2 linked regions of the Pelodiscus sinensis genome follow. The protein of the gene in region 1 purifies or fractionates together with the protein of each later gene. This does not show direct contact. Links are inferred from orthologs where the notes say so. Each region holds a gene or a part of one and is shown in the gene's direction. Other genes may lie near its edges.

Region 1 (6,838 bases):
CATGGGATGGCCCGTGTTGTCTGTCACAGCTGCCCCTGCCCAGCCCCATGTCTGGCTCTGACTGGCCAGGACACCCAGCCCCAGGCCTCTTCACCGTAACAGCTAGTGCAGGCACCTCTGTGGCAGGGGGCTGTGGGGCCAGGGAGCGGGGGGGGGAGGCTGACTGTGCCAGGGAAGGGGAGCAGGGGGCTGTGGGGCCAGGGAGTGGGGGGGAAGCTGACTGCACTGGGGAGCGGGAGCAGGGGGCTGTGGGGCCAGAGAGTGGGGGGGAAGCTGACTGCACTGGGGAGCGGGACCAGGGGGCTGTGGGTCCAGGGGGCTGACTGCGCTGGGGAGCGGGAGCAGGGGGCTGTGGGGCCAGGGAGCGGGGGCGGAGGCTGTGCCAGGGAGGGGGAGCAGGGGGCTGTGGGGACAGGGAGCGGGGGCGGAGGCTGTGCCAGGAGGGGGAGCAGGGGGCCCTGGGGCCAGGGAGCGGGAGGGGAGTCTGACTGCGCTGGGGAGGGGGAGCAGAGGGCTGTGGGGCCAGGGAGTGGGGGGGAGGCTGACTGCGGCAGGGAGGGGGAGCAGGGGGCTGTGGGGCCAGGGAGTGGGGGGGGGAGGCTGACTGCACTGGGGTGCGGGAGCAGGGGGCTGTGGGGGCCGGGGGGGGGCTGACTGCACTGGGGTGCGGGAGCAGGGGGCTGTGGGGCCGGGGGGGGCTGACTGCACTGGGGAGCAGGGGGCTGTGGGGCCGGGGGGGGGGGAGGCTGACTGCACTGGGGAGCGGGGGGGCGACCCCTCCAGGGAGCAGGGGGGCCAATCACGCGCAGGAGCGGGAGCCAGGGCCCCGTGGCGAGAGAGGGGGGGCCGCTGTCCCTCCCTGCAGTGGGGAGCCCGCGGGGCAGGCTGCTTGGAATACTCTGCTTTATTGGGGGCTGCGGGGGAGCGTCACTTGGGCGCCGTGGGGCCGGGCCGGGCCCTCCCTGCCCCACAGGGCCTTGAGCCGCTGGTAGTACACCTGGCAGCTGAAGCCCTCCCGGGAGCCGCACTGGACGTGGGTCTTGAGCGAGTGCAGGGTGGGGAAGACGCGGCAGCAGGCCAGGCACTTGGAGCCGTTCTGCGGCGCCGGCTGCCACCGGGCCGCCAGGAGGATGTCGCGGGAGGTGATGCAGCCCTGGGGCTCCGTGCCGGGGCCCGCCCGCTCCAGGGAGCAGGAGGAGCAGGGGCTGTCGGGGAGCTCGGCGGCCTGGCCGGCGTCCCGGGCGCTGGCTGCTGGCGTGTCCGGGCGGCTGCAGGCCTCCCGCGGGCTGGCCCGGCCCGTGCACACCAGGTAGCTGTAGGGGGAGAACCAGGGCCGGTAGATGGTGCAGTTGCGCCCCGGGGGCTCGCTGCTCGGCATGTCGCTGGGGACACAAGCTGCCAAGAGAAGGGGTTGGGATGAGCCCGGGCCCAGCGCCGGGCAGGCTGGGGGCCGGGCTCGCCTTGGCTCAGTGCCTCCCGGGGAGGGAGCTCTCCAGGGCCCAGCGCCGGGCAGGCTGGGGGCCGGGCTCGCCTTGGCTCAGTGCCTCCCGGGGAGGGAGCTCTCCAGGGCCCAGCGCCGGGCAGGCTGGGGGCCGGGCTCGCCTTGGCTCAGTGCCTCCCGGGGAGGGAGCTCTCCAGGGCCCAGCGCCGGGCAGGCTGGGGGCCCGGCTCGCCTTGGCTCAGTGCCTCCCGGGAAGGGAGCTCTCCAGGGCCCAGCGCCGGGCAGGCTGGGGGCCCGGCTCGCCTTGGCTCAGTGCCTCCCGGGGAGGGAGCTCTCCAGGGCCCAGCGCCGGGCAGGCTGGGGGCCGGGCTCGCCTTGGCTCAGTGCCTCCCGGGGAGGGAGCTCTCCAGGGCCCAGCGCCGGGCAGGCTGGGGGCCCGGCTCGCCTTGGCTCAGTGCCTCCCGGGGAGGGAGCTCTCCAGGGCCCAGCGCCGGGCAGGCTGGGGGCCGGGCTCGCCTTGGCTCAGTGCCTCCCGGGGAGGGAGCTCTCCAGGGCCCAGCCCTTCCCCTGCCCGCCCATCTGCCCCACGGCTGGGCTCCCGTGGGAACCGGCAGCAGCTGCGGGGCTTGTGCTGGGCACCGTGGGACGGCCGATGCTCAGAGCCCAGGGGTCGGATGCACTCTCCGTGCGGAGGTCGGAGGTCGGACCCCACCGGCTCCCATGGGTCCTGTTGTGCTGTGCCCAGGGGCCGCTGCTCAGCTACCCAGAGGAAGGGGTGCGTCTGGAGCAGGGCAGAGAGGCCTCAGGCACGGGGGCAGTGTGGGGCTGGCAGCAGAGAAAGGACCCCTCCCCCCTCAGCTTGTCTCCAGCATCTGTTCCCGGAGCCAGGCTGGAGCCATGGGGTGGGGGAGGTGCAATGTGACACACAGAGCCCCTGGCGGGCCCCACGGCCTGACTCGGGCACAAGCCCCTGCGATGAGTCAGGAAGGCGTAGGAGGCAGGGACTGTCTGGTTCACCAGCGCCCACCCCGGCCTGAGATCCTGCACGGGGCTACCCGCCACACGAGCCAGACCCAGGCGTTTCCAGCGCGTGCACCCCCCCTCCCCCCCCAGGCCATCCGCCAGTGCCTAGCTCTGCCAGAAGCTACTTCCCAGGCCTGGGAAAGGCGGCGTGTGACTCTGGAGCTGGGTCTCTGCTACTGACTCCCTGTGGGTCCTCGTCCAACTCATTTAGGCCACCATTTTCAAAGGGGCGTTGCCCATTGTGGCACAGCTGGCCGCTGAGTCCAGCAGTGCGGGGGCCACAGCTAGGTGAGCTCAGTGGGGGTTGTGAGTGTATCGAGGTATTCAAGGGGGCTGCCGCTGCTTTCCCCAGCTGCTCACGTGTCCCCCGGCCCCTCTTAGTTTCGGTCTGGCCCCCTGGGAGCTGAGGGATGTGGTGTGCGCCACGGGCAGGGTAGTGTCTGTCTCGACGCCTGCAGCCAGGCAGCAGACGCACCGAAAATCAGGCCCTGTAGCTCTAACAGCGAGTCCCCAAAATCAGAGCCCACCGTGGAAACCAGCGGTGGCTGCGTGCCTCAGTTTCCCCACCTGTACAGCAGGGCTCGTACCCCTCCTCCACTTCCTGGTTGGCCTGGGCTGCTGCTGGGGAGGTGGGGAGGGGCTGGAGAAAGGTGGCATGTGTGACCCAAGGTTGGGGGGGCCGTTACCTGGCAAGCTGGGAGTGCGCCGGGGGGCTGGCGCGTCGCGTAGGCTCTTCATGGCACAGCTGGGCAGACGTGGCCCAGAGATGGTCAGCAGGGAGAAGTTCTCCATCCCCGGCGGCAGCTGGTGCAGGGAGCAGGTGCCAGCCAGTGAGATCCTGGGGCTCTGGCCGGAGTTCCCGGGGCCTGGCTCTGTGACGTCACCGGCCGACCTCACAGTCCCTGCGCCGGGAGCAGCCGGGGGGAGGGCGTCTGGCGGCCGCTTGTGTCCCGTGCTGTGCGAGGGCGGAATAGCACGTCTTGGCCCCTCGCGCCCGCAGGGCCCTGCCCAGGCACGGCCCCCGAGGGCAGCTGCTCCACGCCCAGGCAGAGCCGGGCAGGACAGCTTGTTGCTGGAGTGGGGGGGCCGGGCCAGCGCCACGGCTGGCGAGGGAAACTGGGCGGCCGTACCTCTAAGGTGGGGGCCAGGGGCAGACTCTGGCTGGGTGCCGCTCGCCTTGGGTGGCTCCCCTCTGCCCCGGCCCCATGCTGCCCCTGCCATTGCTGCGCTACGTACCGGGCAGAAGCGTTTGAGCCGCAGCCTCTGCACCCGGGTAGTGCAGCCCTGGCTCTGGGGAGAGTTCCCTCTCACTGGGAAGGTTGTGTGCACCACACGCTGGCCACGGGCCGGCTCCCCGCACGTCCCCCTGGCCACGGGCCGGCTCCCCGCACGTCCCCCTGGCCACGCGCCGGCTCCCCGCACGTCCCCCTGGCCACGCGCCGGCTCCCCGCACGTCCCCCTGGCCACGGGCCGGCTCCCCGCACGTCCCCCTGGCCACGCGCCGGCTCCCCGCACGTCCCCCTGGCCACGCGCCGGCTCCCCGCACGTCCCCCTGGCCACGGGCCGGCTCCCCGCACGTCCCCCTGGCCACGCGCCGGCTCCCCGCACGTCCCCCTGGCCACGCGCCGGCTCCCCGCACGTCCCCCTGGCCACGGGCCGGCTCCCCGCACGTCCCCCTGGCCACGGGCCGGCTCCCCGCACGTCCCCCTGGCCACGGGCCGGCTCCCCGCACGTCCTCCGCCCCACGCACAATGCACCCTGCCCACGTGCCAGCTCCCCACACATCCACTGCCCCATGCTTGGCGCGCCCTGCCTGCGTGCCCCCCCCATCCACGTGTCAGCCCATCACGTGCTGCCATCTCCCCGCAGCCCACCTCTCCGTCCAAGCGTCCCCCTCCGTGCGCCGACCCTCCTCTCCTCTCTTCCAGCTGACCACAGCCTGTTTGAGAATTCGAACACGACCCTCGCGCCAAAGCTGCAGCCCAGCCGGTCTGTCTCCAGAGCCCTGCAGGGCCCACCCCAGGCAGCCCTGCCGGACACCGCTGGGCCTGCCCTGCGAGCGGGAAGCCAGCACCTCAGGAACCTGAGCAAGGCCGTCGGGGCCAAGGTCAATGACTTGCTGCGCCGGAGGGAGGCCGCCAGCCTGGGCGAGGCCTGGGTGACCGAGGTCAATGCCCGCGCGGGCGCTGAGCTGGTGGGCGGGACGCTCGCGCTGCGTGAGGATCAGGCCCATGCGACAGGGTGAGTCTCGCCGTGGCCCGGCCCGGCCGCTGGAGAGCGGGGCAGAACCCTCGGTCCGTTGTCAGGCGCGGGCGGGGAGGGACCCTCGGTCCGTTGTCAGGCGCGGGCGGGGAGGGACCCTCGGTCCGTTGTCAGGCGCGGGCGGGGAGGGACCCTCGGTCCGTTGTCAGGCGCATGTGGGGAGGGACCCTCGGTCCGTTGTCAGGCGCGGGGCGGGGAGGGACCCTCGGTCCGTTGTCAGGCGCGGGCGGGGAGGGACCCTCGGTCCGTTGTCAGGCGCATGTGGGGAGGGACCCTCGGTCCGTTGTCAGGCGCGGGCGGGGAGGGACCCTCGGTCCGTTGTCAGGCGCGGGCGGGGAGGGACCCTCGGTCCGTTGTCAGGCGCATGTGGGGAGGGACCCTCGGTCCGTTGTCAGGCGCGGGCGGGGAGGGACCCTCGGTCCGTTGTCAGGCGCATGTGGGGAGGGACCCTCGGTCCGTTGTCAGGCGCGGGCGGGGAGGGACCCTCGGCCCGTTGTCAGGCGCGGGCGGGGAGGGACCCTCGGCCCGTTGTCAGGCGCGGGCGGGGAGGGACCCTCGGCCCGTTGTCAGGCGCGGGCGGGGAGGGACCCTCGGCCCATTGTCAGGCGCGGGCGGGGAGGGACCCTCCGCCCGTTGTCAGGCGCGGGCAGTTCCCCCTTTGACAAGCGGTGGGCAAGGCCTGTTGCTTTCTCCCAGAAGCAAATGCTTGAACTCCCAGGCCAGGGCCAATCCTCCCAGCACACACCCACGTCCGCCAGGCACCCGGGCAGCACGCGCCCAGCCAGCGAAGCCTCGGCTTTCAGCAGCCCCCTCGCCCGGCCCGCCTTGCGCACACCCCAGCGGGTACAACACCGTTCTGCGGCGCCGCCCCAGGGACAGCACAGCCCAAGGTGGCAGGAGGGCTGCGAAGTAACGAATAACCGCAGCCCACGGCCGCTGAGACTTACCTACTGGTGGGCTCTGCTCCCAGGAGGCCTTTGGAGCACCCTCCAGCTGGGAAACTGAGGCACAGTGGCTGAGTGCAGCAGACTAGAGCCCAGCTGTCGGAGCTGGTGTCCGCTGCGCGAGTCTCCTGCGGCCCGGGCGTGCTTGTGTCTGCGTGCAGGGGGTTGAGCGCCCGGGGGCCCCGAGGCAGCTGCCAGCGCCGTGGGTCTGCCGCTCACCAGGGCCGTTGTGCTTACAGGCACGTGCTGCTGGAAACCTTCCCCCGGCTGGACCCACCGCCCCCCGCAGCCAAGAGGCGCGCGCCCCGGGCGCTGAAGACCCCCCTGGACATGCTGATCTCCCAGCCAGCGGCGGGCAGCGCGGAGGCCGCCGGCGAGCGGGCCGCCCAGGAGGAGCAGTGGAAGACGGCGGGGGCCGGGCCTCGGCCAGGGGCCGGCGCTGAGCTGGGTGCCCCAGGCGTAGCAGGGCCCAGTGGGGCCGGGCCTCCCCACGGCAACGCCCTCTCCGTGCCTGATCTCCTCCAGGAGGAGACCTTGCAGGGCCAGCTCAGAGCTGCTGAATGGTGCCCAGAGAAACCCGCCCTCCGGCTCAGCCTGTCCCAGCGCCAGCCCTGCAGCCTGGACCAGGAGGGGCCCCACCCGGACCTCCTGTCCTTTGAGTAGCTGCCCGGGGCACTGGGCCGTCGCCTCTCCCCCGGGACATTCTGCCCCTGCCCTGCAGGCCTGGGGCAATCTGACCGTGCTCTGGGGCATCATCCATGACGGGCCCGGGGGCTCGGAGAGAAGCCCGACCCCTGCCCCCATATCCCGTCGCACACGCGCAGGGCAGGGGGATGCACACCCGCACTGCCTGGCCGCCTGGCTCAGGCACCCCGCACAGGACTTCCCCTCTCCCAGCAGGGGCTGTAGCTTCACCCTACACCCTCCCGTCCCTGCGCCTGTCTCACAGGCAACCCTGGGGCTGGGGGCAGGGGCCAGCCACGAGCCATTTCCCACGGGCCCCTCTCCAGCACCGCCCTGCGCAGACCCTGCCCCTGCCCCGGGCCACGGCTCTACCCGTGTTTCCGTCCATGCACAGTCTTTCCTCTGATCTGCCATGGGGCTGGCCAAGCCCCCGAACCCACACGGCCTTGTCTCTGATCTGATCTGTGGGGCCCCCCCACGCCCG
Region 2 (7,433 bases), on another chromosome or scaffold:
GAGGGGTGCTGAGACAGCCGACTATGGCCTGGCTCCCCAGGCGAAGGGGCAGCAGCGGGCAGTTCCCTGCACCTACCTGCTCAGGGATGGGCACTATCCTGCCCCGCATGGGGTACCTGGGGGCTTCTCACAGCCAACTGGGCAGCAGAGCAACCTCTGGGCTTGGTCCCCTGGCCCAGCAACCCATTGCACCTGCCTCCCCCGGGCAATGACCCAGCCACACAGGGACTCTCCCTGCCTGCCCTACGCTCAGCGGGCACAGGGCCCAGTTCTCTCCAGGGCAGTTTCCCCATAGCGCCAGCCCAGGGGGCACGTGTGAGGGCAGGGGGGCCGGCAGGGACCAGGGGGGCTGAGCCAGGTGCAGGGGGGTGCTGAGAGCCAACTGTGACGTTGGAGATGATGATAACCACGTCAGGGGAGCTCTGCTGCTGCCCTAGTCCCAGCACCCAGGCCAGGCCGCTGGCCAAAGGGCCCCCCCGTCTCCCTGGCTGGGCCCGGCAGCGCCAGGGCGCTACGCGCTCAGCCCGAGCCCGGCCCGGCGGCGCCCCCTAGCGGCTCCGAGCGGGATCGGCGCTGTTCGGGGGCGCAAAGTCTCGCACAGTCCGCGGTATATGGCCCCCGTCCTCCCTCACTCCCCCGGGCCCCCTGACCCCCCTTCACTCCTCCTGTGTCCCCCTCTCCCCGTGTCCCCCGGTGCCACCCGGCCCCCGCCACTCCCAGGCCCCACCCTCGCCGCTCCGCACCCCTGCCTCTCTCTCCCTGGCGGGGGGGCGGCAGGTGTCGGCCCCGGGCACCTCCCCCTGCGGGCGGATTGGCTGGCGGCCGCACCCCGCGGCGGGCGCTATAAAGCAGCGGGCGCGGGCGGCTCCCGGCACTCCCTGGCGGCGGGCGGCCCGGGGACAGGGCGCTGCATGGCGCCCAGCCTGGCGCCCGAGGCCCGGGTGCGCCTGGTGTTCTTCGGGGCGGCGGGCGTGGGCAAGACGGCCCTGATCCGCCGCTTCCTGCAGGACGCGTTCGAGGCGCGGCACCGGCGCACGGTGGAGGAGCTGCACCTGCTGGAGCTGGAACTGGAGCCGGGCTCGGGGCTGAGCCTCCGCTTGGAGATCCTGGACACGAGCGGCAGCTACAGCTTCCCGGCCATGCGGCGCCTCTGCATCGGCCGCGGCGACGCCTTCGCCCTGGTCTACTCGCTGCAGGAGCCCGACTCCTTCGCCGAGGTGCAGCGGCTGCGGGACGAGATCCTGGAGGCCCGGCGGGGCCCGGTGCCCATCGTGGTGGTGGGGAACAAGAGCGACCTGGCGCCGGGCCAGCCGGACTCGCGCGTGGCCGTCGCGCAGCGGGACTGGGGCTGCACCTGCCTGGAGGCCTCGGCCAAGCAGGGGCGCAACGTGCTCAGCCTCTTCCAGGAGCTGCTGAGCCAGGTCAACCTGCCCGGGCGCCTCAGCCCGGCCCTGCGGCGCCGCCGGCCCCAGCCCTTCGGCAAGGAGCCGCCCCGCCGCGGCGCCAAGAGCCACAGCTGCGCCGTCTGCTAGGGCCCGGGGCCGGGCGGGATCGGGTCCCCGACAGCCGCCTGGCTGGAGCGACGCGTTCCGGAGCGTTCCCCGACGCCAGCGGTCGCTGACGGCCCCAGAAGCCGGGCACGGAGCGGACTCTGCTCCCCCTGTACCGCCGCCTGGACGGGGGTCCGTGCCTGCCTCTCTTGCCCGCCAGCCGCGGCTGGCTCAGGGCGGCTCTCCAGGGTGGGGGCTCCAGGCACCGGGAGGCGGAGAGTTGCGGGAGCAGCGAGCAGGGAGAGCGCACGGACGGTGACCAGCCACTCGCTTCCCGTGTGCTGGGTTCAGAGGGCGGGGGAAGCCTCAAAGCGCAGCCTCCTGGCTCCAGTTAGCTTGGACCCGAGCTCTGGGGCGGTTTCCAGCTGGCATGGTAGGATGAGCTCTCATGCTCCGTGCAGGCCGGTCCCACCTCCGCCATGGCTTCCCCTCCAACAATGTGAGGTCTCAGCAGTCAGCAGCCAGAATCCCTTCCCTGGGACACCTGCCCCTTCTATTCTGTAGGGGCCTGACCTGCAGGGTCCCCTGTGATGCTGGCACCTGGGCGCTGAGCTTCTACTACACAAATCAAGCAGCCCAGCTGCTCCACCTCTGGTCCTGCAGTCAGTCCCACCACCCACCTCCCTCCAAGGAAAGGGCTGTGCCTTTGCCCGTGGGCACAGGCCGGTGAGCTGCAGCTCTGAAGCTGGCCAGGGATCCCACAAGGGACAGAACAGGGCTTAATTTGCAAGGCAGGTGCTGCTGGGGCTCATGCAGTTTCTTCACACCAGGACCGAGCCCAGAGGCACTGGCGATGCAAACAGCCTGGGACGCGGCCCAGGCCTCCATTATGCACTGCAGTGGGGACCGTCCTGGTCAGGGAGCCCCTCTGGGGGAGAAGCCAAATGACCCCCCCTGCAGCGCATGTTTCCCAAAGCAGCATCTCCTGAAGGAGACAAGGGTGGAGTGACAGCACCTCTGAGTGTGGGGGAGCAGGAACCTGTCACTAAAAACAGGCAGACCTGACAGCACGGGGCTGGGTAAGTCCAGCCCATGCTTCTTGCCATGGCTCAGGGGTGATGGTATCTTAGTTAACAGGCTCCCTAGGACTCCCTCATGCTGGACTAGCAGCAGGCTAGAAGTCTCTCCAGCTGTGGTGGGAGGGTGTGGAAAGGAAATAAGGGGGGGGGGGGGATAGCAGGTGTATTGTAGAACCTACCCCCACCCAAACAGTGCTTCATACTGTAATGTGACCCAGATGTGCATGAAGGTACTTGCTTCCTTCTGTAGTTCCATGACCATTCTAGCTCCCTGTAATGAAACCCATGGACCTGTTCCCCACATGATTTAAGTGCCTGGGTCCTGTGGGGGCAGGCAGAGCCCTATTCAGGCTCCAGGAGTGCTGCTATCTAGTCTGCTTCCCATATGCCTAGGATGAGGAACCTTTTCTTGGAGCAGGGGCCACTGACCTACAGAAAAATCAGTCGGGCAGCATGCAAGTGAGAGGCTGAACCGGGGGAGGGAGGAGGAGCACTGAGCCGTGGAGGCCAGACACAGGCAAGCTGCCTAGGAGGCCACTGCAGTGGCAGCGCCAAGCTCAGTGCTATGTGAGGGTTTCTCATGCTACGGAGGGGTAACCTTGGCCTGACTTGGGCCTTCTCAAAACAGAGGGCTCCTATTGCTTGTTGGGCTTATGTGGCTGCCTGGCATTACAGTATGTGACTTTCCCACAGAGAAGTCCCTGACACATCTTGCTCTTGGGGTAAATTCTGCTTGGAATAGGCTTGTTTGGTTACGAGTTTGCTTAATTTCCATTAACTGCACAACTGTCACAAAATAAAAACAAACCTCACACGAGGCGAGTGAGCAAGCAAACTTGTTTTCATGTCAGTCTTACTGGAAACTTCATCTGTATCACCTGGCCCAAATGAATTATTTGCTCCTCCAATGAATTTGTTTGTGCTTGTATCAGATCAGTTTTTAATCCATTTGATTAACATTTGGACCTTTAATGCTTCAACAAACACACCATTAATAGAAGTTGTGGCACCAGGTTAGGTTATTTCATCCATCAGGTCTAATAGCCCCCTTCAACAGAAGCTAATGCCTGGGACTTAAAGAAATGGCGTGGGAGAGTTGTTGAACCAAACTGTAGGTCCCATATATAACAGAAACCACTTCAAGTCAGGTAATGTGCTTCCCCCCAGCACCTATGGCTCAGCAGGCAGAGGGGGAAAAAGAATCATTCAGAAAATGACTTACTGGGATTTGGCTGGTCCCTTGTGGCTGTCAGGCTGTGCCGGGGGCCCTGATGCAAGCGAATGTTTGCTCTTCCCTAGCAGTGACCTGTCCACCGATCAGTGCCTGGGGGTGCCAGTTCCTACACTGCATGAAGCAGCGAGTGCAAAGCCTGGGTCTAGGCCTGCAACACTGAGGAAGCTGTGAAAGTGCAACAGGGGAAGGGGAGGTTGTTCTAGTGGCACATCTGGGAGAGGGTAGCTGGTTGCTGTGCATTGGGCAGCATGGCTGGGGCTAGAGCTACACATGTGGGTAGGGTGGCACATCTGGGGCAGGAGGGGGTGGCTGGGTTACAGTTGCACATCTGGGGCAGAGAGCTGGAGCTAGACCTACATCTCAGGTGTGGGGGGCAGGGACTAGAGCTGCACATCTGGGGCAGGATGGCTGGGGCAAGGATTGCACCTGTGGGGCAGGGGCCTGCACAGCGGGGCGGATGTTGCAGGGCGAGCCCGGATGTTCCGGCGACGCCCCCTGCTCGCGGCTGCCCGCTCGCGGAGCCCGGGGCTGCTGTCCCTTTAAACGGGGCGGGGGGGCTCCCATGGTGCCTAGCGGCGGGCGGCTTGGATTTTAAATCGTAGCAGCCAATGGGGAGCGCGCTGGGCGCGGCTAACGCTCCGGCTCGAGGTTTGAAATTGTTACAGTGTCGCGGCGGCCGGCGGCGAGAGCGGGGCTAAGGGCGGGAGCATGAGCGCGGTGTCCGGGAAGGGGGCGAAGCCGCCGGGGGCGGCCGAGCCCGGGAAGGGGGCCGCGGCCGGGCCCGGGCCCGGGGCGACGGCGGTGGCCAAGGAGATCCCGAAGGTGCTGGTGGATCCCCGCACCCGCCGCAGCTACATGCGCGGGCGCTTCCTGGGCAAGGGCGGCTTCGCCAAGTGCTACGAGATCACGGAGCTGGAGGGCCAGGAGGTGTTCGCCGGCAAGATCGTGCCCAAGTCGCTGCTGGTGAAGCCGCACCAGAAGGAGAAGATGTCCATGGAGATCTCCATCCACCGCAGCCTGGCGCACCGCCACGTGGTGGGCTTCCAGGGCTTCTTCGAGGACAGCGACTTCGTCTTCGTGGTGCTGGAGCTGTGCCGCCGGCGGGTGAGGGGCGGCCGGGGGGGGACGGGACGCGGGGCCGCCGGCGGGTGAGGGGCGGCCGGGGGGGGACGGGACGCGGGGCCGCCGGCGGGTGAGGGGCGGCCGGGGGGGGACGGGACGCGGGGCCGCCGGCGGGTGAGGGGCGGCCGGGGGGGGACGGGACGCGGGGCCGCCGGCGGGTGAGGGGCGGCCGGGGGGGGACGGGACGCGGGGCCGCCGGCGGGGGAGGGGCGGCCGGGGGGGGGGGGACGGGACGCGGGGCGGCCGGGCCCGTTCCCTTCCTGCAGACGGACGTGGGCCCCGTGGGGCTCAGGCCTGTCCTGCGGCGGGGGCGCTGCCGGCCCGGCGGGGGGGCGGGGGGCTCCCGCAGGGGACGGGGCTGGGGGCGGTAGCGGGGCCGCAGCCGGAAACGCTGATACTGTCTCTGCGTTCCACCGTGTCCGAGCGTTCGAAGCGCCTTAAAGGGCCAGTAGCCCCGCGCAGCGGTGCAGGGTGGGGGGTGCTCCCAAGCCTTCCCGACGTTACTCTCCTCAGTGGAGCTAGGACGGGGGGGTGCCCGCCGCAGAGCGTCCCCAGGCAGCAGGGGCAGGCTCTGGGCTGGGGGTGCTCATCACCCTGCCTCTCTCCTGGCCCCCAGTCGCTGTTGGAGCTGCACAAGCGGAGGAAAGCCTTGACCGAGCCGGAAGCGCGCTACTACCTGCGGCAAACCATCCTGGGCTGCCAGTATCTGCACAGCAACCGGGTCATTCACCGGGACCTCAAGCTGGGCAACCTCTTCCTCAACGACGACATGGAGGTGAAAATAGGTACGGACACCTGCAGCACAGAGCGGGTCCGGGAGCCCGCCCAGCCCCCGCCGCTCGCTGCGGATTCCGGGCCTTGTAAAGTCCCGATCCGAGCACATCCCATGCTTTGGATGGGCCGACTCCGTATTGGAGGGATGTAGCCCATAATTCTGCCACTTGCTGCTCACAGGATGAGACCGACTGTCCACGCACCATTGCCTGAGAACTCTGAGCTAAGGAAACCAGTCTCCCTGGTGCCCGGCCTGGCCCTAGGCAAATATTCTTGTACCTAAATCTTCCCAGGTGACTTTGGCTTGGCAACCAAAGTAGAATATGATGGTGAACGTAAGAAGACGCTGTGTGGGACACCAAACTACATCGCCCCCGAGGTGCTGGGCAAGAAGGGACACAGCTTTGAAGTGGACATCTGGTCCATCGGCTGCATTATGTACGTTCCATGACAAATCTTCAGGTTTTTAGTTTGCATGCCCTTAAATTTGGGACTTAGGGCTGCCATGGTCAGTCCGCTAGACTGGGGTCCGGGTTTTAAGTTAATCTTAGCTTGTGAGGAGCCTCTTAAAGGAGACACTATAAAACAAAAGTGATCAGGTCCAGGCCAGAACCTGGATAAGTGCAGACTAAGGTATGTCTGTGAGAATGGCCCAGCTATGGTGGTGTAGCTGAGCCGCTGTGGTGGTATAGTGCAGATACTTTCTACACTGACTTTCTCCCTCGATGGCATTAATCCACCCCTCAGAAGAGAGGTGCATTAGCTACGTCTGTGGAACAAGTCTTCCACTGTCCTAGCTGTGTCTATACAGACACTTTTCACTACCCTGTAGACTTGGCCTAAGGCTTGAATTGCCCTGAGATGTAGCTATGTGCTGGTCTCTAGTGAGAACAATATTTGAAGAGTTCTTGCTAGAACACTGCTAGCTTGGTTCAAATCTATATGGCTGTAAATGGGTCTTAAAGGTTACAATTTAAAAAGTGGTTTGCAAATTAGGCTGCCCTAGCAAGACTCCTAATGGCAGTGACCAAGGGCTAGAGATGGGTGATGAGTCTCAGCTTCCTTCATGACTCGTTTGCTTTGTAATCAGAGCTTGACTATCTCTGGAAAACTCCTCAGATCTGACTATCAGAACAATGTTCCTGTTTGCCTTGACCTGCCAGCTGCTGTGTGTGCACCTACCTGTACCCACAACCACTGGCTTTTGCAGGCTTACTTCTTGTAGTGAAAGTTATTTTGAATCCTGTCCATTTAAAGACCTGATGTCCCGAGTTTCACCGGTTCTCTCTCCCAAGGGTACCAGATTCCAGCTGCCTCCCCTAAGGAGCAGGGAACTGGAGATCTACCTGGCATTTCAAATACAATTGCCTGCTGCCCTGCATCTCCTGGGTGTCTCATCCCCCTGCTGCAAATGATCCTTCATGTGGAAATCGTGTGCTCTCCTTGTGACAGGCTCTTATGTATCTTAAATATGCAGGTACACACTTCTGGTAGGGAAACCACCCTTTGAAACCTCTTGTCTAAAAGAAACCTACATCCGAATTAAGAAGAATGAGTACAACATCCCCAAGGTATGGAGCCTGCTGCAGAGCGGGAGTTAGTCTTGCCAGCCAATAGAGCTAAGACTGCTTGTGCTTAGAGTGCACTTAACTTGGGAGTGAGCCCATTGGACTCACTGGCACTTCTGTTTTTGAGAAAACAAGCATAGAACGGGGTTCCGTGGGAAAGCTGAGT

What was found.
Region 2: the proteins of C9H1orf226 (region 1) and PLK1 purify together in Homo sapiens (affinity purification with mass spectrometry; 3 studies listed by BioGRID and IntAct, counting the BioPlex papers as one, with this or other methods). This does not show direct contact. The link is inferred for Pelodiscus sinensis from reciprocal best matches to the Homo sapiens genes C1orf226 and PLK1.

What each region holds. Positions count from the first base shown.
Region 1 is NC_134719.1:65,318,867-65,325,704, forward strand, and holds C9H1orf226 (uncharacterized protein C1orf226 homolog), read left to right. Parts: upstream 1-4,259; coding exon 4,260-4,705; intron 4,706-5,909; coding exon 5,910-6,333; downstream 6,334-6,838. Other genes in the region: SPATA46 (spermatogenesis-associated protein 46), read right to left, coding at 905-1,395, 3,151-3,256.
Region 2 is NC_134726.1:39,868,827-39,876,259, forward strand, and holds the start of PLK1 (serine/threonine-protein kinase PLK1), read left to right. Parts: upstream 1-4,430; 5' UTR 4,431-4,511; coding exon 4,512-4,907; intron 4,908-5,541; coding exon 5,542-5,710; intron 5,711-5,992; coding exon 5,993-6,137; intron 6,138-7,176; coding exon 7,177-7,270; intron 7,271-7,433. Other genes in the region: ras-related protein Rap-2c-like, read left to right, coding at 912-1,532. UniProt on the Homo sapiens protein: Serine/threonine-protein kinase that performs several important functions throughout M phase of the cell cycle, including the regulation of centrosome maturation and spindle assembly, the removal of cohesins from chromosome arms, the inactivation of anaphase-promoting complex/cyclosome (APC/C) inhibitors, and the regulation of mitotic exit and cytokinesis.